Xenopus tropicalis: one gene and its partners. The protein of the gene in region 6 purifies or fractionates together with the protein of the main gene of each other region. This does not show direct contact. Links are inferred from orthologs where the notes say so. Each region holds a gene or a part of one and is shown on either strand. Other genes may lie near its edges. The genes, in order: fam83g, rab3gap2, osbpl11, miga2, acbd5, vapa and vdac1.

Evidence for each region.
Region 1: the proteins of vapa (region 6) and fam83g purify together in Homo sapiens (co-immunoprecipitation; 3 studies listed by BioGRID and IntAct, counting the BioPlex papers as one, with this or other methods). This does not show direct contact. The link is inferred for Xenopus tropicalis from reciprocal best matches to the Homo sapiens genes VAPA and FAM83G.
Region 2: the proteins of vapa (region 6) and rab3gap2 purify together in Homo sapiens (affinity purification with mass spectrometry; 3 studies listed by BioGRID and IntAct, with this or other methods). This does not show direct contact. The link is inferred for Xenopus tropicalis from reciprocal best matches to the Homo sapiens genes VAPA and RAB3GAP2.
Region 3: the proteins of vapa (region 6) and osbpl11 purify together in Homo sapiens (co-immunoprecipitation; 4 studies listed by BioGRID and IntAct, counting the BioPlex papers as one, with this or other methods). This does not show direct contact. The link is inferred for Xenopus tropicalis from reciprocal best matches to the Homo sapiens genes VAPA and OSBPL11.
Region 4: the proteins of vapa (region 6) and miga2 purify together in Homo sapiens (co-immunoprecipitation; 3 studies listed by BioGRID and IntAct, counting the BioPlex papers as one, with this or other methods). This does not show direct contact. The link is inferred for Xenopus tropicalis from reciprocal best matches to the Homo sapiens genes VAPA and MIGA2.
Region 5: the proteins of vapa (region 6) and acbd5 purify together in Homo sapiens (co-immunoprecipitation; 4 studies listed by BioGRID and IntAct, counting the BioPlex papers as one, with this or other methods). This does not show direct contact. The link is inferred for Xenopus tropicalis from reciprocal best matches to the Homo sapiens genes VAPA and ACBD5.
Region 7: the proteins of vapa (region 6) and vdac1 fractionate together in Homo sapiens (co-fractionation; 3 studies listed by BioGRID and IntAct, with this or other methods). This does not show direct contact. The link is inferred for Xenopus tropicalis from reciprocal best matches to the Homo sapiens genes VAPA and VDAC1.

The regions. Positions count from the first base shown.
Region 1 is NC_030685.2:18,622,776-18,626,935, forward strand, and holds the start of fam83g (protein FAM83G), read right to left. Parts: upstream 2,801-4,160; 5' UTR 2,705-2,800; coding exon 2,225-2,704; intron 1-2,224. UniProt on the Homo sapiens protein: Substrate for type I BMP receptor kinase involved in regulation of some target genes of the BMP signaling pathway. Also regulates the expression of several non-BMP target genes, suggesting a role in other signaling pathways.
Region 2 is NC_030681.2:10,598,879-10,601,517, forward strand, and holds the end of rab3gap2 (rab3 GTPase-activating protein non-catalytic subunit), read left to right. Parts: intron 1-153; coding exon 154-372; intron 373-513; coding exon 514-672; intron 673-1,718; coding exon 1,719-1,862; 3' UTR 1,863-2,139; downstream 2,140-2,639. UniProt on the Homo sapiens protein: Regulatory subunit of the Rab3 GTPase-activating (Rab3GAP) complex composed of RAB3GAP1 and RAB3GAP2, which has GTPase-activating protein (GAP) activity towards various Rab3 subfamily members (RAB3A, RAB3B, RAB3C and RAB3D), RAB5A and RAB43, and guanine nucleotide exchange factor (GEF) activity towards RAB18.
Region 3 is NC_030685.2:89,887,235-89,890,734, forward strand, and holds part of osbpl11 (oxysterol-binding protein-related protein 11), read right to left. Parts: intron 1,954-3,500; coding exon 1,805-1,953; intron 1,427-1,804; coding exon 1,286-1,426; intron 1,214-1,285; coding exon 727-1,213; intron 1-726. UniProt on the Homo sapiens protein: Plays a role in regulating ADIPOQ and FABP4 levels in differentiating adipocytes and is also involved in regulation of adipocyte triglyceride storage. Weakly binds 25-hydroxycholesterol. Interacts with OSBPL9 to function as lipid transfer proteins.
Region 4 is NC_030684.2:21,660,416-21,664,597, reverse strand, and holds the start of miga2 (mitoguardin 2), read right to left. Parts: upstream 2,801-4,182; 5' UTR 2,693-2,800; intron 1-2,692. UniProt on the Homo sapiens protein: Regulator of mitochondrial fusion: acts by forming homo- and heterodimers at the mitochondrial outer membrane and facilitating the formation of PLD6/MitoPLD dimers. May act by regulating phospholipid metabolism via PLD6/MitoPLD.
Region 5 is NC_030682.2:24,939,412-24,942,911, forward strand, and holds part of acbd5 (acyl-CoA-binding domain-containing protein 5), read right to left. Parts: intron 2,717-3,500; coding exon 2,602-2,716; intron 2,487-2,601; coding exon of another isoform or gene 2,454-2,486; intron 1,342-2,453; coding exon 1,186-1,341; intron 564-1,185; coding exon 369-563; intron 1-368. UniProt on the Homo sapiens protein: Acyl-CoA binding protein which acts as the peroxisome receptor for pexophagy but is dispensable for aggrephagy and nonselective autophagy. Binds medium- and long-chain acyl-CoA esters.
Region 6 is NC_030682.2:104,674,008-104,677,946, forward strand, and holds the start of vapa (vesicle-associated membrane protein-associated protein A), read left to right. Parts: upstream 1-1,139; 5' UTR 1,140-1,433; coding exon 1,434-1,491; intron 1,492-3,939. UniProt on the Homo sapiens protein: Endoplasmic reticulum (ER)-anchored protein that mediates the formation of contact sites between the ER and endosomes via interaction with FFAT motif-containing proteins such as STARD3 or WDR44.
Region 7 is NC_030679.2:22,887,148-22,890,537, reverse strand, and holds part of vdac1 (voltage-dependent anion-selective channel protein 1), read right to left. Parts: intron 3,334-3,390; coding exon 3,181-3,333; intron 3,091-3,180; coding exon 3,038-3,090; intron 2,085-3,037; coding exon 1,857-2,084; intron 192-1,856; coding exon 41-191; intron 1-40. UniProt on the Homo sapiens protein: Non-selective voltage-gated ion channel that mediates the transport of anions and cations through the mitochondrion outer membrane and plasma membrane.

The DNA of each region.
Region 1 (4,160 bases), on a different chromosome or scaffold from region 6:
TTCAGGCTCATATACAGACTTCTGTCCGTTAAACAAAAGCAATGTACGTCAGGGGCCCCTGCAAGGATCTCACTACACTGGCTATTCTCTCTATAACAGAGCTGTGCGTCTTTAAAAAGTTTTAATCTGCTGCTTTTGTTGACAGAAGGTGAAGAAAGGTTTGGCATACAGGTTGGCACCACTGCCTGCCGGGCAATAAAAGGATCACATCCTGGGCGTACAAGCAGCTTGGTGCCCGTACCCCGAGTCACATGTCTGTTCCCTGCAAGCTTATGCCATGGGGGTGAGATGGACCCCAGCACCTAAACCATAGTTGCCAAATTGCCCTGTGTGCCCATAGCCGTGCCCAAGTCTTCTAAATACATACGGCTGAAGGTTTCTATTGCATCACCTTACGGTGAATCCTCAATCAAGGGGCATGGGTGCAATTCTCCCAAACAAGTTGGGCAATGGGTGGCACCACCCTTCTACAGGAAATGGCTTTCCTCCTACGGGAAGTGTCTCACCCCCATGTTCCCCTGCTTTGCACCTCGGGGGAATGTCAGCATTCCTGAGCAATGAAGCAGGTCCCTAGGGGAATCACACGGGTGGATCAACCCATTCCGGCAGCACCCCTACAGGGAGTTGTATTGGAATCCACGCACTTGTGTTGAACTAAAACTCCCAGCACCCCTACAGGGAGTTGTATTGGAATCCACGCACTTGTGTTGAACTAAAACTCCCAGCACCCCTACAGGGAGTTGTATTGGAATCCACGCATTTGTGTTGAACTAAAACTCCCAGCACCCCTACAGGGAGTTGTATCAGAATCCACGCACTTGTGTTGAACTAAAACTCCCAGCACCCCTACCAGGAGTTGTATCGGAATCCACGCACTTGTGTTGAACTAAAACTCCCAGCACCCCTACCAGGAGTTGTATCGGAATCCACGCACTTGTGTTGAACTAAAACTCCCAGCACCCCTACAGGGAGTTGTATCAGAATCCACGCACTTGTGTTGAACTAAAACTCCCAGCACCCCTACAGGGAGTTGTATCAGAATCCACGCACTTGTGTTGAACTAAAACTCCCAGCACCCCTACCAGGAGTTGTATCGGAATCCACGCACTTGTGTTGAACTAAAACTCCCAGCACCCCTACAGGGAGTTGTATCGGAATCCACGCACTTGTGTTGAACTAAAACTCCCAGAGTTGTATCGGAATCTTGTTTTTCAACTAAAACTCCCAGCACCCCCAACAGACCAAGGGCAAGAAGGAAATTCCTAGAGTATTATATAAGCAGAATGGGAGTTCAATGACTATACCTTGGTCTGCGCTACGTGGATTATTGGCGACTGTGTCAGTTTATAGATAGGCGCAACGTGCCAACACGGCAAAACCATAGATCAGCCTCTGGCAATATCTCACCATATTGATGGACTGCAACTCCCAGCGACTGCCTGACAGCCGGAGTTGTAGTTCAACAGCTGGCAGGGCAGCAAGTTGCCAGAGGCTGTTAGACAGACAGACTGTTGGAGAGATGGAGTCACAGGTGGCTACAGACAATCACTCCACTGCCTGGCAGTCTCCTATAGATCTCCCTCTGTCTGTCTATATCAGGCTTAGAGAAAGATAGACAGACACATGAGATATGTATAAAGTGAGAGACAGCCAGAAGGAGACAGACTGCTGGACAGACAGACAGCCAGAAGGAGACAGACTGCTGGACAGACAGACAGAAGGAGACAGACTGCTGGACAGACAGACAGCCAGAAGGAGACAGACTGCTGGACAGACAGACAGCATGAGAGAGACAGCATGAGAGAGACTGCTGGACAGAGAGACAGCATGAGAGAGACTGCTGGACAGGCAGAAGGAGCCAGACTGCTGGACAGACAGACAGAATGAGAGAGACTGCTGGACAGGCAGAATGAGAGAGACTGCTAGACAGACAGAATGAGAGAGACTGCTGGACAGGCAGACAGAATGAGAGAGACTGGTAGACAGACAGAATGAGAGAGACTGCTAGACAGACAGAATGAGAGAGACTGCTGGACAGGCAGACAGAATGAGAGAGACTGGTAGACAGACAGAATGAGAGAGACTGCTAGACAGACAGAATGAGAGAGACTGCTGGACAGGCAGACAGACAGAATGAGAGAGACTGCTAGACAGGCAGACAGACAGAATGAGAGAGACTGCTGGACAGGCAGACAGAAGTTACATAGGTGCAACTATAACTCACCTTCTGCGCCTGGTTGATCATCTTCCTGACCACCTCCTTGATATGGGGCTGCCCATCTACCGGGGGCTGCATGTACACCGTGGCCCTGGTCACCCCCCGATAGGCTACAGCTTCGGGCCAGCCCAAGTCCAGCTCTGGAATGGAACAGTCCGATCTTTCGGGCCAGTACTCCAGCGACTGCCCCCCATCCTCCTCTTCCTCCCCACTATCCAGCTCGCCATCCTCCCCGGCCGCCCTGCAGTGGCCAGAGTCGGGGTCAAAGGGCTCCAGCCGGCCGGCGATCCTGCTCAGCTCCAGCTCGGAGAGGAAGTCCCTGATGTTCTCCTGCTTGACGACCCCATAGAAAGCGTCGGTCCCCCGGGCCAGCAGCGCCTCCAGGGCCAGCCTCTGCTCCTCGCTGTAGAAGAACTCGGCTTTGCTCTCGCTGGCCCTCCAGTTCACATGGTTATTGTCCAGGCATTGGAGCTGTGACAGCGCCATGGTGTGCCCTGCTGCCCCTCGGCAGATACCCGCTCTCTCCCCGACTCCTGCCTGCCGGCAGCGCTCCCCTCACTGATCCTCTCCTCACACAACTTACAGGTAGGGAACAGAGCACCGCCCCATCATGTGACGTGCAGCCATAACCCCGCCCATCCCGGCACTGACACGCCCTAAACAAAGTTGTAATGAGTTGGTTCCTCAGCTGCCTCTGCTCTAAAGGGCAACTCCACCCAAACACTGTTTACTGCATAAAAACAGAACACGTGTTTTCTAAGCAATGTTCCACCATAGTTTCATTAAAAATTGCCTTTCGTTTTAAAACTATTTGTTATTGAAAACTGTTTTGTTATCCATTTCTGCACTCTGGTTCTGACTAGCAAAACAAAGTAATGGCGGTCTGTCCTGTTTAAAGGGTGCTTCACCTTTAGGTTAACTTAATATGTTATAGAATGGCCTATTCTTAACAACTTTCCTATTGGTCTTCATTTTTTATTGTTTATAAACTATTTGCCTTTCTCTTCGGACACTTTCCAGCTTTCTAATGGGGGTCACTGACCCCGGCAGTCAAGTAACAAGTGAGGCTACAGTCTTATTGTTACTTTTTATTACTTATTTGTCTATTTACTCCCTCCTCTATTCATATTCCTGTCTCTTTTCCAAATAACTGCCAGGTTGCTGGGTTAAACTGGACCCTAGCAACCAGATAGCACCTGAAATTCCAAACTGGAGAGCTGCTGAACAGGATGCTAAATAGTTCAAAAACTGAACTAATAAAAATGAAAGAACAATTGAAAATTGCCTCAGAATAGCATTTCATACTAAAAGTTCATTGAAAGATTGACATCTGCTATATTGTTTCAGGAGTCAGAAGCAGAAGAATAGACAATATAAACAGATAGATAGATAGATAGATAGATAGATAGATGCTCCTTTTTCAGGTAGAGTTCTCCTGTAAGGGGACATTATCACCATGGGCAATGTTCTATAGATACTCCAGTTCAGCTGTTGACTTGATCTAATGTCCCTATCATATTTAGATACAGAGGGGCCATTTTTTTTATTGGAAGCCAATTAACCTGCCTGTATGGTTTTGGAGTGTGGGAGGAAGCATATATAATGCCCTGGCCAAACAGGAGCCCAAACCTTCCTGTATTGTTAGGGGGCCTCCTGTTCCTCCAGTTCCAGCCACAAAAAAATTATAGAACACATGAAAAGTATTTTAGGTCCTTCCAAATCTTACTAAAAATGATCTTATCCATAAACATTTATTGAAATTGTAAGTCTGGGCTCTGAAGGGGCCTCCCACAGTCCTGAGTGGGTCAGCTTCTTCTCTTGTGGCTTCCAACTGCCTTCTATTTCTTTCTCTCCAGCACAGCAGTTCTGTTACACTTTATGGCTGAGATTCTACCTACCTTTAGAACAGAGCATTCAGACAACAGGGGTCTGAGATCTTACC
Region 2 (2,639 bases), on a different chromosome or scaffold from region 6:
CCTTTAGCTTGCCGATTGATAAGTGGCTGATGTTCGGCCAGTAACAGGGCCCACACACATATATTTGCACCTGAATGAGATGGAACATTAGATCTCTGTGCATTTTAGTAGTAACACACAAAATAATAACATTTCCTTCTCTCCTGCCCCAAGTTTTTGCTAAAGGTGATCAGTTCAGCCATCCAGACGCTGGCGGAGACTCAGGAGCCCACCCAGTCAGAGCACTCTGCAGCCGAAATCCCCGAGAAGTCAGTGGACTGGCCGGAGCTGGCTGTGGGATTGGCCCGGCACCTACAAGTGAATGAAGATACAATATGGAGACATTACGTGTGTGAGCTGTACAGCTACGGCTTCGATCACTTGGCGGAAGAGGTGAGTGTGACTTCCTGTCCTGCTCGGCCAATGAAATGTATCCGTAACGGATGTGCCAGTCTAGGATCCGGGCCAGAGCTCAGAATGGCGCCTGTATCCTTGCACGTAGGTAATATCCCTCTCGCTGTGTCTCCTTGGCAGGCCATTCTCCGAGTACTGGACAAGGAGGTGCTGGCGTCTCAGCTACTGGTGCTCACGGGGCAGCGCCTGGCATACGCTCTGCTACACACACAAACCAAGGAGGGCATGGAGCTACTGGCAAGGCTTCCTCCCACTCTCTGCACGTGGATAAAAGCAATGGTAAGAGCCTGCGGGATGGGAGGAGCATGGAACGGTCACTACATTATTATAGCACAAAAGTATAGTAGTAAGGTAGGCCTTACTGTATGCTGGAAACCAGAGAGCCGCCATATTGCTTGTCTGAGAGCCGCCATATTGCTTGTCTGGGCATGGGAATTCCCACAGACAATACAGCAGCACCACTTGCGCTAAACAGATGCTGCTGCCGATGTAGGACCCCCTCCCAGAGAACATTATAGTACAGGTATGGGACCTATTATCCAGAAGGCTCGGGACCTGGGGTTTTTCGGATAAGGGATCTTTCCATAATTTGGATCTGCATAACTTAAGTCTGCTAAAAATCATTTACATATTGAATAAACCCAATAGGGCTGTTCTGCCCCAATAAGGGGTAATTATATCTTAGTTGGGATCAAGTACAGGTACTGTTTTATTATTACAGAGAAAAGGGAATCATTTAACCATGAAATAAACCCAATAGGGCTGTTCTGCCCCAATAAGGGGTAATTATATCTTAGTTGGGATCAAGTACAGGTACTGTTTTATTATTACAGAGAAAAGGGAATCATTTAACCATGAAATAAACCCAATAGGGCTGTTCTGCCCCAATAAGGGGTAATTATATCTTAGTTGGGATCAAGTACAGGTACTGTTTTATTATTACAGAGAAAAGGGAATCATTTAACCATGAAATAAACCCAATAGGGCTGTTCTGCCCCAATAAGGGGTAATTATATCTTAGTTGGGATCAAGTACAGGTACTGTTTTATTATTACAGAGAAAAGGGAATCATTTAACCATTAAATAAACCCAATAGGGCTGTTCTGCCCCCAATAAGGGGTAATTATATCTTAGTTGGGATCAAGTACAGGTACTGTTTTATTATTACAGAGAAAAAGGGAATCATTTTCAAAAATAAGAATTATTTTCTTATAATGGAGTCATTTCCATTTCCATAATTCGGAACTTTCAGGATAATGGGTTTCTGGATAAGGGATCCCATACCTGTACAGTACTAGTAAATGACATCCTTTCATCTATTTCAGGACCCCCAGGAGCTGCAGAACACGAATGTGCCAATCGACGCTACAGCAAAGCTCGTGGATAAAGTGGTTGAACTGTTGCCTGAGAACCACGGCCAGTACAGTCTTGCCTTAAACCTGATAGAGGCTGTGGAAGCCATGTCTTGATTGGCCTTAGCGCCATGACCTGGGGGTGGGGGACGGGGAAAGAGATTCCTGCATGTAAGATAGAGCGGTTGCTTTGGGGTTTCAGGGCTTTTTGTAAGATAAGTGTCGGCACTAGCACCGCGTTCATAATTCCTCATCGTTCCTTTTAATCCTCGGCCAATAAGGTCTCGCCTATCATGAATATGCAAGTATATATGTTCCGTGTCGCTCTGTCCCACAGAGATCCTTATTTATTGCAATCTATGATTTATACATAAAGTTTCATCGTGAATCACTACGTGCAATAGGCCCCTTAGGGCAGCGGCACTCGTGTCTCATCGCAGCCATTCCCCATAAGGAATAATCCTGCCCACAAGCAGCCCCCAGAACCCCCCGTATGTGCCAAAGCCCCTAATGAGGCCCAACATCGATTTGTAATCAGATTCTCTCATTCTGGGAGCAAAGCAAGAAATCAAATGACATATCCCTTAGTTACATCACCAAACGCAGGCCAATCCTAGCAGCCAACTCAGCCAACAGCCGGCCCCTGTGTGTGGGGCAAACAGCCGGCCCCTGTGTGTGGGGCAAACAGCCGGCCCCTGTGTGTGGGGCAAACAGCCGGCCCCTGTGTGTGGGGCAAACAGCCGGCCCCTGTGTGTGGGGCAAACAGCCGGCCCCTGTGTGTGGGGCAAACAGCCGGCCCCTGTGTGTGGGGCAAACAGCCGGCCCCTGTGTGTGGGGCAAACAGCCGGCCCCTGTGTGTGGGGCAAACAGCCGGCCCTGTGTGTGGGGCAAACA
Region 3 (3,500 bases), on a different chromosome or scaffold from region 6:
GGAGACAAACCCACTCACACACCCAGAACGACATCCTTAGTGGGAGACAAACCCACTTACACACCCAGACCGACATCCAGTGGAGAAACCCCACCCAGAACGACATCCCTAGTGGGAGACAAACCCACTCACACACCCAGAACGACATCCCTAGTGGGAGACAAACCCACTTACACACCCAGACCGACATCCCTAGTGGGAGACAAACCCACTCACACACCCAGAACGACATCCCTAGTGGGAGACAAACCCACTCACACACCCAGAACGACATCCTTAGTGGGAGACAGACCCACTCACACACTCAGAACGACATCCCTAGTGGCAGACAGACCCACTCACACACCCAGAATGACATCCCTAGTGGGAGACAAACCCACTCACACACCCAGAACGACATCCCTAGTGGGAGACAAACCCACTCACACACCCAGAACGACATCCTTAGTGGGAGACAGACCCACTCACACACTCAGAACGACATCCCTAGTGGGAGACAGACCCACTCACACACCCAGAATGACATCCCTAGTGGGAGACAAACCCACTCACACACCCAGAACGACATCCCTAGTGGGAGACAAACCCACTCACACACCCAGAACGACATCCTTAGTGGGAGACAGACCCACTCACACACTCAGAACGACATCCCTAGTGGGAGACAGACCCACTCACACACCCAGAATGATATTAGTAAGGGTCAATACACATTGATCTCACTACCTTCTCCAATCATGGTCACGCCAATGGACATCCCCATGAATTTGCTCTTTGTCCAGATGTGGGTGTTGACACACATTCGGCGCTCCGGACACTCAGCATAGAACCCTGAGACCGGAGGATGATGGGAGACCTGCTCAGCCACAAACCTAATGGTGTAAGAGTCTGGTTTATTTGAGTCCTCCACAAGCGGGGCCTGATCCTGTGCTTTGGGGGGCTTCTCTGTGGGGTTAGAAAGCTGCAGAGAATCTTTGGGTACCCTCCAGGAGCAGTGAAATGTCTCCCCAATGATTGGGTTGTATGGCTTTTTGGCCAGCGCCCCCTTGCGTCCTTCATGGAAGGAGGTCAGGTAATATTCCACAAATCTCACCATGCGCTCCTCGGGGGTGAGGCCAGCGCTGATAGACAGGAAGAGGTCTGGGTGGGACAGGAAGTCGGCGTACATCTCTAGCAAGGAGCGTTTCTCCAGGATGAAAGTGGGGAGGACCACCTAGGAAAGAGAAACATGGAGTCAGTCTCTGGGTGAGTGAGAGAATGGAAGCTCCTGGGAGCACTGCCTTACCCGGGTCAGATCCATGCCCAGTTTGAGCTGGGATAAGAGATGCAAAATGACGCTGCGCTGCTCCTCCACGGCCCCCAACTCATCCTCTTTGAGATCACACCCGTCCTCCACCTCATCCTCTGGGTTTATGTCTTCAGGTTCCTATGGGACACAATGGGACTATGGGAGACAAATCCTGGGCTTCCCGCTCACACCCAACTTCTACTCAGTTTCCCTTTTTCTCCCACTTAAAGGAACGAAACCCCCAAAAATGACTCTGTAAACTAATTCAGAGTGCTCCTCTGAGCACATTTGCATTTTTGTGGTATCGGAGATATTTGCAGTTTTAGACTGCTAATACAAGGCCTTGGGCTCGGCAGCTCTTAAGAGTATCAGGGAGCCCCGAGGCAGAGAATGTTAGTTCAGTGTAATCCTACAGAAAGGAATAGGAATGTACCAATCAGTGCAACCCCAGCAAAGAAACAACTTCCACCACCTTTTTATTTCTTTGCCCCCCCCCCCGTACCCCACAGACCTTACCCCAGAAGCCAGGGTGCTATCAGACAGGGCCTGCGTCTCTCTCAGAAGCTCTTGCTCTTGGCTTTCCGGCAGCGCCAGGCCGGACTCCTCCCCATTATTCAGATGATTGGGAATTTGGATTTTCGCTTCCAGCCAATTGATCGCTGTACCTGGAGTGAGAGGAAATTTGCTCATAATCCAGAAGAAGCAGAGCGCTCAGTGGGCACAGTGTGGGCAGCCGGGGGCTCCTTGGCAACCCATATAACCCAGATGCTGCGGGCACGAGCGGGCACCAGTCTGCCAGGTAACTCGTTTCTAATTGTTCAGCTGCATCTCCAACAGGCAGCACCTTTCCCAGCCATTAGCATACTGCAATACGATTGGCTGGAGAGTGTCACCTGAATCTGCCGGCACAGTCTGGGAACCCGATACGGGGGGGTGTAAAGCGACACGGTGACAGGAAGAGAGCCCAGTGTCCTGTACATGACCCAGATGTGGCGGCGCCAGGTCCCAGGCTGACAGAACCGAGAGGCACAAGTAGTGCCCAGGCCCAGCTGGGAAGAGCCTAACTGCCCCCTAGTGCCCCCTGACCCTCCCACAAGCAGAGAAATGATAGGGACCCAGCGCAGGGCACTTTCAGCTGTGACCCCCCCTGGAAAGAGACTCGGAGCTCCCGTTACCTCCCGACTAATCTGCCAATCACATGAATTATTCACTTGTTCCATTCTCAGGCTGCGGCTCATCCAAGCAACATGTGCCCCCCCCCCCCCGACTGCTTAACATTTACTGACCCCATTTACAGAAAGTCACTCGGCTGCTGAGTCACATGGAGAGGTGTCACAATTCTCCCCCTTTCCCTATTATTATTATTCTCATTACATATGCTAAGGATCTGCTCGTCTGGCCGCCTCCCTATCTGCCCCTTTGGCCACAAACTACCAATCAGATCATTCAGCCCAGGGGGCCATTGATTGTAGATCATGTCCATTGGGTCCTTAGCCAAAAGGAGTTCCCAGCCAGCCCAACCAGAATACAAATGAATCCTGGTCGGCTATATGGAGCTTTTTGGGTTACTATGGCTACCAAGAGTGGCCGAGTCAGCAGCCAATGCCCCCCCGGGTATGGGTGCCCCCTATAACAAGACTCCATGCCTGAAAAACACAGTACCAGCCAATAAAAATCACTTTATATGGCTTCTGGCAGCCTTTGGTTTTTATGGGCATTACTTGCCAATCCATACACATGGGGGGTTCTCTTTGTGCCAAACTATCTAAATTTTACCGATTATGTTGGGGAAAGTTACCTTGGTCTTCATTTTTTATTATTTGTAGTTTTTTAGTTATTATCTTTTCAGTTCAGCGGCTATTTGGTTGCTAGGGTCCAAGCGACCTTAGCAACCAGGGAGTGGTTTGGATGAGAGGCTGGTATATGAATAGGGGAGGGGCTGAATAGAAAAATAAGTTATAAAAAGTAACAATAGAACTGGAGCCTCACAGAGCAATAGGGTTTGGCTGCCGGGGTCAGTGACCCCCATTTGAAAGCTGCAGAAGAAGAAGAAAAAAGGCAAATAATTCATTAATTACTATAAAAAATAAATAATGAAGACCAATTGAAAAGTTGCTTAGAATCGGCCATTCTATAACTTTACTTTTTGTTTCTTATTACTCTATACAGGCCTCTCCTATTGATCTCCTAGTTTCTTATTCACACCACTGCC
Region 4 (4,182 bases), on a different chromosome or scaffold from region 6:
AAAAAAAAAAACATTTCTGATTATATATTGCATGCATGAAATAAATGTGTGCGGTGTGTGTGTGTGTGTGTGTATATATATATATATATATATATATACACACACACACACAGTGACTTGCAAAAGTATTCGGCCCCCTTGAACTTTTCCACATTTTGTCACATTACAGCCACAAACATGAATCAATTTTATTGGAATTCCACGTGAAAGACCAATACAAAGTGGTGTACACGTGAGAAGTGGAATGAAAATCATACATGATTCCAAACATTTTTTACAAATAAATAACTGCAAAGTGGGGTGTGCGTAATTATTCTTTGGTCTGAGTGCAGACCCTTTGAGATCCTGAGACCCTTTGGTCTGAGTGCAGTCAGTTGCCCATAGACATTGCCTGATGAGTGCTAATGACTAAATAGAGTGCACCTGTGTGTAATCTAATGTCAGTACAAATACAGCTGCTCTGTGACGGCCTCAGAGGTTGTCTAAGAGAATTTTGGGAGCAACAACACCATGAAGTCCAAAGAACACACCAGACGGGTCAGGGATAAAGTTATTGAGAAATTTAAAAAAAGGCTTAGGCTACAAAAAGATTTCCAAAGCCTTGAACATCCCACAGAGCACTGTTCAAGCGATCATTCAGAAATGGAAGGAGTATGGCACAACTGTAAACCTACCAAGACAAGGTTGTCCACCTAAATTCACAGGCCGAACAAGGAGAGCGCTGATCAGAAATGCAGCCAAGAGGCCCATGGTGACTCTGGACGAGCTGCAGAGATCTACAGCTCAGGTGGGGGAATCTGTCCATAGGACAACTATTAGTCGTGCACTGCACAAAGTTGGCCTTTATGGAAGAGTGGGCAAGAAGAAAGCCATTGTTAACAGAAAACCATAAGAAGTCCAGTTTGCAGTTTGCCACAAGCCCTGTGGAGGACACAGCAAACATGTGGAAGAAGGTGCTCTGGTCAGATGAGACCAAAATGAAACTTTTGGGCCAAAATGCAAAACGCTATGTGTGGCGGAAAACTAACACTGCACATCACTCTGAACACACCATCCCCACTGTCAAATATGGTGGTGGCAGCATCATGCTCTGGGGGTGCTTCTCTTCAGCAGGGACAGGGAAGCTGGTCAGAGTTGATGGGAAGATGGATGGAGCCAAATACAGGGCAATCTTGGAAGAAAACCTCTTGGAGTCTGCAAAAGACTTGAGACTGGGGCGGAGGTTCACCTTCCAGCAGGACAACGACCCTAAACATAAAGCCAGGGCAACAATGGAATGGTTTAAAACAAAACATATCCATGTGTTACAATGGCCCAGTCAAAGATCTGAAAACTGCTGTTCACAAACGCTGTCCATCTAATCTGACTGAGCTGGAGCTGTTTTGCAAAGAAGAATGGGCAAGGATTTCAGTCTCTAGATGTGCAAGGCTGGTAGAGACATACCCTAAAAAACTGGCAGCTGTAATTGCAGCAAAAGGTGGTTCTACAAAGTATTGACTCAGGGGGCTGAATAATTACGCACACCCCACTTTGCAGTTATTTATTTATAAAAAATGTTTGGAATCATGTATGATTTTCGTTCCACTTCTCACGTGTACACCACTTTGTATTGGTCTTTCACGTGGAATTCCAATAAAATTGATTCATGTTTGTGGCTGTAATGTGACAAAATGTGGAAAAGTTCAAGGGGCCGAATACTTTTGCAAGCCACTGTATATATATATATATATATTCATATAAATGCAGCCACATGCTTTGACCTCTGCAGTTTCCAGGAGATGAGGTGCAGTGACAGTTAGTATGTTGCCTTGTAGTGCTGGGGGTTTGATTTTAGCCAGGGCAATAGCTGCAAGAAATTGTATGATCTCTCTTCAGGCCTGGACTGGCAATCTGGAGAATATGGCAAATGCCAGAGGGGCTGCTGTAAGATGCCATAGACAGTTGCTATTTATTGGGCCTGTGGGGGTCAGGGCCTATTTTGAGTCCCAATCCAGACCTGTCTCTGTGTGTTTCCTCAGGGCACTCTGCTTTCCTCCCACACCCCAAAAATATACTGGGTGGTTAAATGGCCCCTGATAAAACTGAGCCTAATATAAGGACTTTATCACTAGGGTATTTTTAAGACATGAGCGGCAGCACAAGGGTTATGGCACACAAGAGAGGATGAAGGAATTCTCCGGCCGCTGTTGAGAGGCTTCAGGGAGAAATCTACTCATCACCACTGGTCACAGGGGGGTGACATAATAAGTAATGACAGGCTCAGCTGATGAGTTTGGCACAAAAATGGCATCATGGTGTGGCAGTCGCCTGACTGGTGTGTCCCACTGATACACAATAACCAATTCCTCCCCACTAGTGGCCCTACACATATCTGCCTGCGGGGCAAAGTAAAGTTAAGACACATCACTGCTTGTGTTTGGTTACTATGGGCAACTGCACTGAGCTTCCTGTCAATCCGGGGCCCATTGGGAGAACTAACTAGTGATCAAGTGGCTGGAGCCCATAGAGGCTCAGCTGCCAGTCACTAGGTTCCAGAACACTGCAGCTCTGTGAGTTCGCACAGGCGAAACCCAGACATATGTATCGAAACGGTGATGTATATTCTAACGCAGCAAGATCAGCGCGGTACCAGTGCCCGGCCCTAAGCATAAACAGTTCCAGAGCTGTTATTCAGGGACCGGCAGTCACTCACCCTCTCACTCCTCAGAAGGACAAGCTTCTCCTCCGCTCTCTAGCGTCTCCGCGCAGCTGCCAGTTCCTAGTTGCAAATGGTCGCGAGTGACATCACAAAACGTGAGTACGTGGTGACGTCTCCACACTTAACATTCAGCGCTTTTTTCAAACGGCTGTAGATAGAGTGTAGGTGAGTGCGGGCTCAATGGTTTACTCGGAAGCCGCGGAGAGAGCGGCTCGATACAGGCAGTGTTTCCATTGGGGGGGTTTGTGTACTTTTTTGTTTTGACGGCAGATTGGGTTAGTTCTATGGGGGGTGGTGGGATGAGCTGCGCTAGGTTTGTCTGTGGGGGGTATTTGACTCTAGGGCAGTGTGTGTGGAAACTAAAGCTATCTATCGAATGTGAGTGGGCTGTGGCAGCAGGAAAGGTCTCTGGTTATGGATGGGGGGGGGTTGTAGGTGTGTAAGTAAGGCATTAGACAGACATGGGTGCCCATTTTGAATTCACCCGAATGTGTACTTTCCAAAAATATATGGGTTTGGGGGGGATCAACGTATTGTAGGGGATCAAGAGAACTCTTTCCCCTGTTTCTGAGTCTGTGACATTATCCCGCCTGGCTACAGACTGGGGAGGAACCCGATTGGCTGGGTGCCCCAGTGCAGGGCCGCCCTTACCAACTGTGGGGCCCAATTGGAGCCATTTTTACGGGGCCCCCTTAGTACATGGCACTATCCGGGACAGCGGGATGCGCTATTAAAACTGATTCCGGGGTGCGGGGCCCAATTGCAGGTAATAGGTCCAATCGGCCTAAGGCCGGCCCTGCCCCAGTGCGCTGATGGGAGAGAACGGTGTGCCTAGGTTTGGAGCCAAAAATCAGGGGGGGCCCAGCAGCTTATAAAGGGAGCCCCTGTTGTTTTGCCAGAGTTGAGACAGAGAGATCCAGTAAGCAGTGACAGTGTGAAGGATTTGAGTGCCTGTAAAGAGAGATCTGCTACACTGCTGTTGGATGCCTTTACCCCCTGCAGATCCCAGTGAGTGATCCATCTGAGGGAAAGGTATTGGAAGTCTCCTGTGTGTGTCCCCTGTGTGAGGACAGGTGTTTCTCAGGGCCTGCTATGTGGGAGCAACTGCCTATTCCAAAGGGAGAGGTACTTTGGGGCGGGTAGCACTACCTGGGAAACTAAAAGAGCTCTGGGGAAGGGACTTTGCCAGGACTGAACTGGGAAAGGGTATTTCCTCCAGGAGTGGAGTGTGGAACTGAATCCTCAGAGAGACTGAGCCAGTAGTGGCTAAACCAGAGGTGGGCAAACTACGGCCCGCGGGCCACATCCGGCCCGTTGGCCTTTTTAATCCGGCCCGCCGACTCCGGGTCCCTTTAAATAATTTCTGGGCCCTGATTGGTTGCGCTTCGTGCGTGCTCGTGCGCAGGGGGCGCAACCATAAAAAGGATGCAGCGGGGAGACGGGGAACAGACGCAGCGGAACGATGGAGGGAGCTGCAGGTCGGA
Region 5 (3,500 bases), about 80 Mb from region 6:
CATCTCTGGTGTCTTGTAAAGGCTTCTATGTGTCTGTGAATGACTTAGCCCAAATGATACACCTTCTATGCTACATCCCCCTGTAGGATTACACACTAATTTGTTATTGTTCATATACTTCCAGCTTTCCTTAAACTACCTTATTGTGCATACAACTTCCACAAGAACAGTGGTGTAGCAAAGCCCTAAAGCTCAACATACAATTAGCACATGGATCTATATTTGGTTTGGCTACCCAAGATGTGTGTTTGAAAGCCAGATTAAATGTTTTAGCCCTCATCGACTGCTTGGAGCACATTGGAAGCCTAATAATAAATTGCATGTGATTTGGTTGTGTTTCTTGTGTTGAGTTGGTTTTGTGTATGCACCTCTGTCTGCTTCAGGATCATTCACAGGACTGTGTGTGTCCGGAATGGCCACCTTATCTCCTGGCTCACTGAGACATTTGGAAGGGAGGGGAGTTGGCTCCTCTGTTACCAACTCTCTGTGGTTTCTGGTTAAACCATTAACAATACTCTCTGCAGGCTTCTCGTGTCCAGGCTGCTGTTCCACATCTTTGTCTTCTGTAAGGAAATGCAGGAAGACAACAAGACTGTATTGATTAGTAGAATATCATACAAAGGAATAAACCTTACATTAAGCCAAATGACTACAGAAAAAAAATAATTTAAAAAAATAAATACAGAGTGACCAATTAAAATAGAGTGAAATTGTGTGGGATGTGAACTTTGCCTTGTGTCCTTAAACATAGAAGTGCAGATATAAAAGCCCATTTATGACATCTTTGAATCTCACCATGGTACAATAATGTAAATTTGAGTGTGAGCCTCAAGGCTGCAGTTTACTCTCAGCGAGCACCTGTAACATAATGTGAGTTGAATATTTCTGGTATTATAGCACAGTAAGTACTACATAGCATTTAGATGAACCATTAAAGCCCCATTCTCATTACAGACTATGATCTAACTCAGCTTGACTAAGCTACTGGGTCTGAGTTGGATCACAACCGCACCCATGTCTATGAGAAAATCGGTCACCTGAATGCATTATGTAATTACATAAAAATCATCTGAGAGTGCAGCCCTTACAAATTGCTTAGTCTGCTTCAATAAGGATGGACTAGCTATGTATATGTGTTTCCAAATACCCAATAAAAAAGGAGGCTGAGGTTTCACAAACTATTACCTTGCTCGCTATGCTCACTTTCCTCTTCTTCATCTTCCTCCCTAACTTCCTTTGTTGCTGCCTGTTCTTCATCTGACTCTGCGCCGCTGTCACTGCTCTCTGCCTTGCCATTCACTGCCTTGCCATTTGGTGTAGATGTCAGGACACTGCCAAGTTCTAAAAAAAAAAAAAAAGATATTCAGTGTAGGTAACAGTAACACTGCTTGTCTAGCACAACAAGCTAACCCTGATCACAACACAGTGACTTTATTAAGCCCAATATGAAAATGATCCAATCTAAGAGGCTAAAGGTTTAAACTAATGTACCTAAACCTGATATATTTATATGTTATTCTTAAAGGGCCACTATACAAATCACTTTTTATTTTCCACATGTATATTTTTAATGGGGATTAATTATTTCCATCCCTTGGCTTTAAACCTCAGCTTCAATAATAATATTGTTGACCAGGCTTCCAGTATTAGCCTTGTCTAAACTGACACGGTCTCTTAGGCTGACTGGATCACACCTTCCTTACTTGCTTTACAATCCCCTACCAAGGAGCCAGAGAAGGGATGGGTGTGACCCGAAATCGCTGAGGGGATGGTCAGCCAAAGAGGGCCATAAATGGAGTTTACTATAGCAGATATTACTCTATAATCTTTGTCAGACTTTTCAGAAGGATACCATTAAATTGTCAGAAAAATTTGCCTCACCTCTGAGGGTAAAATGGCCCTTTAACAAAAAAAAAAGTGACAAAGAAACTAGTCCCATGATGTTAAATCAGCGAAATGTACAGAATATTAACAGTTTGAATTTTGAAAAATATACAAAATATTGTTGAAACATGCTTTACACACCGTGGAGAGTGTGATTTCCCATGTGCAACAAAATGCCCTGTAGGCTGCCATATAAATATTGCATTCATTGCCTTTAATGGTAAAGGCAGGAAGGGCAATTTTAAGTGTTTTTCATTCTGTAGAAGGACAAAATGCTCAAAATCATCGCCCGTTCAAAGTAAATGGGGTCACTGCCAAGCACTGTATTCAATCAAGTGACCAGTGTTTATCATTTAAAAACACATAGCACTGCATTTTCCAGTAAAATGCTCTGGGCTACAGTCCAGACCCATCGCTTGGCAAATATTTTAATTTAATTTGAAAAAAGTTTCTCCTACCCATGGGGTTACAAAACTCTCAAATAGTTTAAGTCTCCCTGTCGGCCATTACTCGTGTTCAAACACAAGCCACATATAAACTTAAAGGACAGGATTTTTTTCCCCTCCTACCTTCTAAAGATTTAGTCACTCTGTCCAGTCGTACTGGCATGTGAAAGGAGAGAGAAGAGAAAGATCTGATTGCTGGAGACAGACAGAGAGCAGAGAAAGAAACAATGACTATAGAGTACTATGAAACAAAACACGAGTTAAGCCCAACCTGATGTCACACCAGATCCTCGCCCATGTTTTTTGTCTTCCACTATTTCATAAAACGGACCTATGACTTGAAGCAATTCTTCCACTTTTTCCGTCACTGGCATAGTCTCAAGGATCTAGCGTCCAAAAGGCAATATGTCATAAAACAGTAAAGAGGCAAAGTCATGTTGCTTTGTCCACTCACTTTTTCTCTGTCTGTAGATTCATTAAAAAGGATACCAAGGATACAGGGTTTGTGTTTTGCTCTATTGCATGGTTATTTGAGCAGCAAGCAGCTCATGGATTCAACATTCGGACAAATAAGGAGAAGCAGGCAGCTACTACTGTATGTTTTGCTGCAAACAAAGCAATAGTGATTAGCTGACTTCAATTCTGTATGCTCCCTATTTTTAACTTTTTCTGATACAGACACTAACTTGGTCACCAAATTATTATGACTAAATGTGAAAATAATAAAAGGAATATATATAAAAATATATATATTCTTAGTTAAAAAAAGAACTAGGTTTGCTTTATCCTTTTTACATCTTAAGGCCAATGGCACACAGCAATTTCCTGTATTTTGCCCACCACCTTTTTGGTGGAGGGCAAAACACATGAAATTGGACCAGGAGGTTTGATACTAAGTAGCTCAGTGAAGGGGTTAGGGGTCTAGACTGAAGATCAATCATACCCTCCCATATAGATTGTAAGCTCTACGGGGCAGGGACCTCCATCCTCTTGTGTCTTTGACTCTTAACTTATTGCAACTGTATTTATCTTGTATCTATCTGTATTTATTGTTGTACTTTGTATTTATCTATTATTATCTTAATAATCCCGTTTGTATTAATGTATTCTACTGTACAGCGCTGCATACATAAGTAGCGCTTTATAAATAAAGATATACATACATACATT
Region 6 (3,939 bases):
ATTGTTATAAAAAGTTAAATAGAACTCTATGATTTCTATTAGGTTGTACCCCCTGCCTAATGCAGGCTGGGTGCATTAGGGTCACAACATGCCACATACTTTGGTAAATGTAAGAATACTGGGCATCAAGCTGTTCCAAAGATGAAAATAGTAAAATGGAAATAGCAACATGGTTTTACTCTAAAGTGGACAAAACCATAACATGTTGACGGGCGATGTAAAAGTTGTAGGGATGTACCAAATCCAGTATTTTGCCAAGATTTGGCCTTTTTCAGCAGGATTTGGATTTGGGCAGATTTATGCCTCTGACCGAAGCGAATCCGATTCCTTAAAATCACGTGACATTTTGTCACATAAACATGGAAGTTGAAGTTTTTTTTACTCTGCACTTTATCCCCTCCTCGTCCTAAAATTAGGATTCAGATTCAGTTCGGTACTTGGACGAATCTTTCACAAAATTGTTCAGGGTTTGGACGGATCCTAAAATAGTGGATTTGGGCGATCCCTTAAAAAGTGCTTGCGGCTTGTAATTGTGGGCAGGGCCTATTTTTGCCACAACAAATCAAAAGCATTTTTTACCAGAATTTATGCACATAATATGAATACATACATCTTTTTTTTCTATATTTTTACTGGAACTTTAACAATTTTTCCCAAACTGAAAAATTCAGTCTATTGCCATATGCAATATAATGGAACCTATGCAGTGGAATAGTTCAATAAACATGCAAGAGCAAGTTGCTTTACAGAGTGGTCTCACGTCGTTCCTGTGGGAATACTACAGCGCGACGCCTATAGGCTGCGTTTATAAAACTGGCATAAAGGGAAGCAATTGACAAACACCTCGTTCATTCTAAATAAGCATTAACTTGTATTGGTTTCAAATTCCCTAACATTTCCTTCACATTTGTTGCAGCATAACCGCTATCCCTTCCGCGGTGCTCAGCTGTAAAACGCCGTACTGTTTTTGAAGCACTAATGTGGAAGTGTGTGACGGGACGAATCCCGAGTGGGCGTTACCCAGGACACACGCTTGTTACGCGCATGTGCGTGCTGACGTCACCCAGTCCGTGTTCCTCCCGGCCGTGACGCGCTTGGGGCATTACGCGGTTGCCGCACTGTACTGTGTGTTGAGTCAGCGGTGACAAGGAGCGCAAGGGGGGAGGCGGAGGAGGAAAGAGCCGATACTGAACTGACCATAGTAACCCGAGCCTCGGAGCCCACACCGCTAGGCTGTGCCAGCTTTGGCCCGTTCTCCCCGCTCCAGCCTTGTCTTCCAGCGCTCGCTGCCTCTTTAAGTCACCCAGCTGCCTACCTGCTGGGCCTTCATTTGACATCTCATATTCGGCCACGTAACACAAGCGGCCTCCTCTTATTTTGCGTGTTGTGGGCCAGCCGAGCGGTGAATGGCGGTAGTTACACCCGGGGTCACCATGTCCAAACACGAACAAATCCTTATTCTTGACCCGCCCAACGAGCTGAAATTCAAAGGTAACGGGACGTATCTGGTTATGTGGTTCCGGGATGTGAGGCCACAATGCCCCGCTTTCCAGTTGTGTCTTGCGGGGAAAAGGCCTCTGATGGATGGAGAGAGTGTGGAGATTGCTGTTGCCTCTGTTGTGGTGAATCGGGGTGGCTAATCTCTGTCACATTGGTACTGGCAGCTGCACTCCTATCCACCACTGGAGGGCTGCAGCTTGGCCCTTTAGTCTATGGCACTGAGACAGCCAGTGCTAGCTGCTTACAGTGTGCTTTGTTTTACTTCTAATACTAACAGTGACAGCCTGAATAACACGTGATTGTACAATACCAGCAGATTTCACAATGCTGTACAGTAGAAGGGTGTATACATCAAACATACATTACATGAAATGTTTTAGTAAGTGTTAATTGGCCCATGATTCCCACTCTTGCAGCTCTAAAGCAATAAGTAAATATTATTTGACTTGTGGTGTTCAGGTGTGATTGGGCATTACATTGTAAAATACACTGGGGCAGGGATTTATGTGAATCATATATAATCAATGTAAAATGATGTGGTGTTCGTTGTTGCTATATAAATACAGGGTTGTGTGTGTGCTCAGAGCAGTCATGTCAGTAGCCATAGATTGCTTGGGCAGCTGTACAGAAAACTTGTTTAATGTTCAGGATTTAATTTAAGTATTGTTAGATTCACATAAGATGAAAGTGTGCACAGGCAGACTGTTGTTCCTGACAAGGCAATTAGTATAGTTGGCCATACATGGGCAGGTTTAAACTGCTGATTTGGTCCCTTCAGAACATTTTATCTGCCCATGTATGGGTCCTCCTGTCAGATTGCCCAGGTATCTATCAGGCAGGAGTAAATGCCTATTGGGGCATGGGTTACATTGCCTCATTTATGCAGTCCTCTCCTGGCCGCCTGTATCATTAGCCCGAAGATCAGTCCAGTATGGCCCAGCATATAATTGGCTTGTAAAGCGAAGTACCACACCAGCGCCTGCACATATTGGTAGCCTTCTTGGGAACTAAATGAACTCTCTGAAAACTGGCATTAAACAAGCACATAGGTGCCCATATTGGGCACAGAGCTGCTCATTTGGCAACCTGGACAAATGAGTGAATCTTCTTGTGTATAGCCACCTGAATACTGTGATAGGAAATATAAGGTGGGTGAGATCTTACAATTTCAGATCAATAATACAAGTGAAAGGATGAACTCTAAGCAGGTTTCAAGGACAACATTTATTTTTGGCCACCAGGTCTCTCTGTTTTAGCCTTAGGTATCCAGGTGTTGTGGGGTGTCAACTCCTTTAATTTCTTAACATATAATCCAAAATCCAATTAAAAGCATACTGAGAAAATAGGTTTCAGGCCACAAAACTGTTTTTAAACTGACTCAAACCACACAGATTTGCTGTCCCTATAGTGTGTTTGTGTGGTGGTGTTTTTTTTTTTTTTTTTTTTTTGGTAATCCTGAGGGAACTTTGGACTCTTACCAGTACAGTATTTCTCTGTTGCAGGAATGTCCCAGAATCCATTGGTTCTTTTTTTTATTTCTCCTACGCCTCACCTGCTTTTTATAAGCAATTTCACAATTTCTCTGCCCATTTGAAACATAATTGCCTACATTAAAGTTAAGATTACAGAAGGTTACAGGTGTTTTAAACATTACTGTTATTGCCATTTTTAAATCTCCTTTACAAACATTGTAATGTAAAATTCTGTCACTACAGGATCTGCTCCTACGAATGGGGAGCAAGGAGTTGAGGTATGTCAGGTTTACAGGTTTTAAGTAAAGATATGCTTTGGATCAAATTTTTAGTTTGGTCAGACCATCAGTGATCCAAAGGATTGCAGAAACATCCTAGGTGACATTTAGGTGCAGGCAGAAAAAAAAACACCCAATCTGGTCATAAATGTCCAATTTAATTCTATAAACTAAGCCAAAAACCTGTGCTTCTCTATTTTCTTTGTTTTCTTATTTTGCACTTCACAAACATGTACCAAGGAAGTAGCAGTCCTTATTGTCATAAAAAAAAAAAAAATCTAAACAATTTATTTTTTAATTTTTATTATTCACCTTTCATGAGAAACTCCACTACAGAGCTATACTAATGGCATCATGTGGGAGCACAAAATTGCACTGCAAGGCTCAGAAGGTTTGTCTGAGACTTGCAGGGATCTGGGCAAATCCTGAATGGACTACTGAGTTTAATGTATTCTTAATCTAATGGAGCAGGTATTCATCTGACAGACACTGGGGAAACAACTTTTGTCTGTGGTCACCCAGTAACACAATAAGAAATGTAGTAGTAAGGCATTTGTCATAAGCCCAGTTATGAGTTTAGTTTTCAGGTATTACTGGATTTTGTTTCAGCATGGGGATGTCAAAGCTTTATATGCAGGTATTTGCGCTTTTATTCCAATACCTGTTATCCAGAAAGCTCTAAGTTAGGG
Region 7 (3,390 bases), on a different chromosome or scaffold from region 6:
GATGAAGTTTATGAAGATGTGCTTCATTGTTTGTACTTACTGAAAACGAAGCATCACTATCGATTTGATATTTGGCTGCTATTCCGAAGCGTGTATTGCTGTTTCCTGCTGTCCATGCAAGGTTGATTGCAGTTTCCAGTTTATCATTAACCTTCTGATATACAGAACCACCAAACTCTGTACCGTCATTTCTGTTGGCAATATACCACAAATATTATTATTACTGGACAATTTAAAACATGCCAGCATTTTCTGCAACATTGTAAATGATCTGTACTTTTCAATAAAAAACCAATGCAAAAGGGCCCACAATGCAGTAGGGCTTACAATCCAAATAGGGATATGCGAGACACAACATATAAAATCGGTATGTTAGTGAAATGTTATGTTAATGGTTCTCACTGAGATAAAAACGTGTTACTTATAATTAGGATCAGCAAGGCTGATATGTCATTGCAGGAACTGAGGACTTTTTTTGTAGAATGTATTTTGTGCCTCTGTTCTCTGCAAATGAATTCCACAGGTATGGAGCTGCTCTGGTGTCCCTGTCCATATAAGTAAGTTACCAGGAAGCAGAAAAATCTGGAGGAATAAATGGTTGATTTGGGCTGCTCCTGTGAGAACCTTGCCTCAGGTGGCAGTGAGCAGCCAGTTACTAGGGTTGGCAAAAAGCCGCCTCTGGTAACTTTAAGAGCCAAATTTTCATTTTTTAAAACCAAAATTTGGGTCTGCTAGTGCAGACTTCTAGGTCAAGCCAAAAACATGAGAAAGGTTAGTTCTTCTGATGAAATGAACCCTAGCACATGTGCGTTGTATATACGTTATATTGTCAGCTTTATATGGGCCGAGTCTAAGTTACTTAGGGTTGAAGTTCAACCTCTCTAAACAATATTTATCTTCTATTAAAAAGTCTATGTCAAATGTCTATGATGCTTAGATATGACCAAATGCAAAAAAATATCTCAGGTACCTCATTCAGGAATCTTGGTAAACTATCCATATCTGGTATTGCTACACTTAGAAGATATGGGGCTTTCTAAATCAGATGTGTCTTTGTTTATAGTTTTTTTGGTCTATTTTAATTATGTAAAATATAAAAAATGCTATTGTGGGCAAAAAAATAAGTGCATGAATGTTATGAATAAGACCCTAAATCCTAGGAGTGCTGTGCTTGTTTCAGTATATATATATATATATATATACACAATCCATAAGATGCTCTGCAGTAGGACCCCTTGTATGTTAAAACCCATATCATTTCAGAATCCTTAACCATATTATAATATATGCATATTTATTATAGTCATATATATATTTTTTTTAATTCTGCGATACAGGTTTATATGTCACTGAAAATGTATTATTTTAGTTACCTTTAACTAGCAGCAGCCTATAAGGGGGTTAATGCCCCACTAATTGTTTTTATTAGTATGAGATAATAAAAGGATAATCCTGTATTCATTCATAATAGTCAGGGCAATGATTTGACCACAACAATGTTTTGCTATTTCTTTTTTTCACTAAATGATTTGCAATTGTCCACACCCCCTCGCAACAGTAGAAGCAATTCCTTGGCTGATTAGTATAACATTTAGAATTCATGGATATTTAGTACATTATTAATAATGCACTGTTGTTTATTGTTCATCGTTGTGGGTGTTTCACAATTTGCCATTTTTCTCATTATTACCATTACCTTTACAAGCTATTGTAGACTCAAACTAAATCTCTTGGAAAACAAAATGTTTCCCCACAGGGTAAAAGTAAAAGATCACAAAAATGTTTATGTGGATTAGCAGTGAAAGTTTTAACATTGTGCTGAATTGCTTATACAAGAAATGTTTTGTTTGACTTACACATTGGTATGCAACTGAAATTCATCAGTTTTGTATCCAACTGCAAAGTTGCTTTGGGAGACTCTGGACTTTGAGGATTCGAAAGTCATTTGGTAGCCAGCTAACCATCCCTCATAGCCAAACACTGCAGCTCCCCGCACTGATGGGCCAGCAATATCGAAATCCATGTCACAGCCAATGTTAAGGTGCTCTCGCTTGTATGCAGTCTTGACTTTTGCATTCTTCTTTCTATATAGTTTGAGAAAAGAATAAATTGGTATTAGGAATTATTATTAGCGAATAGATTCCCTTATCTGTTTTATAATATATATTGTGTGTTTTGACTTACTAAATATTCCTAATGCTATAATTTGGTGCTAATGCTTCTGAGGAAGTGTCTTTTGGCTACCAAGGGTGTCAAGCATGCACCCCCACCCCACCCCATCTGTTTACACGCCTGTTTAAGATATGTTTTATATACATATCAGTTTTACACAAAAGCTCTCCCCAGTATTCAGCGAGGATCAAATCTGGATAAAGCTTTTTTGTTTGCCAAAGTCACATTAGTTTAACCCAGTGAAATGCACTGTTTTTTCAATATTTTGAAGTGTTTGTGTAACCCAGCAAAACTTGCTAAGTTGTGTGAGGCAGAAAATCAAAGCAAAAGGTAATCCTACCAGTAACTAATAATAACACAAATAATTAATACCTCTTGCTAGTAAAGCCACACAGAGTTTCAGCCATCTTTCCACTACACTATACAGATTTAAATGTTGCCTAGATCTCATGCATAATTTATTTGTAAGCTTTACGCCTATCTATTTTCACTCACAGTAGTCCTATAAATTTACAGTGGAGCTGAGCAAGCATAAGGAGTCTGGCAAATCAGTTCCAGATGAGCTAAAAACCTATGCTATCTAGGAACATCCCTGTTGCCTGTCAGTGGCAAATTTGATACTGAAAAGAACTGGATGGTGTGGATGGCCTTTGGTTATCTGATTATGCTGAACGTTCTATAAATGTAATTATTCAGCCAGTTACAAGGATAGCTAGGACAGCAAATACGTTTACACCCCTGATTAGCCCTATGTGGAATTACCCTAATCTTTCATGCTGGGTCCCCCAGCTACTAATTCATGCTCCCCTTGGAGGGCTGTATATAATTAAAAACTCTCAGTTATTTAAGTGCAGATTCTTCTTACCCTGTGTTAGGAGAAAATGAAGAGTCAAATGTCAGCTTCAGACCCTTTGCAAGCTAAAGAGAAAACATATTATGTATTTAAATTGTAAGACATATCTTACTCACAAGTTCCAGAGTTAAATTATCTCAAATTAGGATATTTACCTGGTCTTCTACAGTGATCTCTGTCCCTAATGTGTTATCTGTATTCCACTTTTCTGTGAAAGTAAGGCCATATTCTGCCCATTTGTATTTGGTTTCCAAGCTGCCAGCAACTTTGTTAGTCTCTGCATTCGCTGATCCTGAGCTTGTAAATTCCTGTAAGTCAGAGAAGTATACACACAATATTCTGTTACTGGAAGTTGTGTAATCATG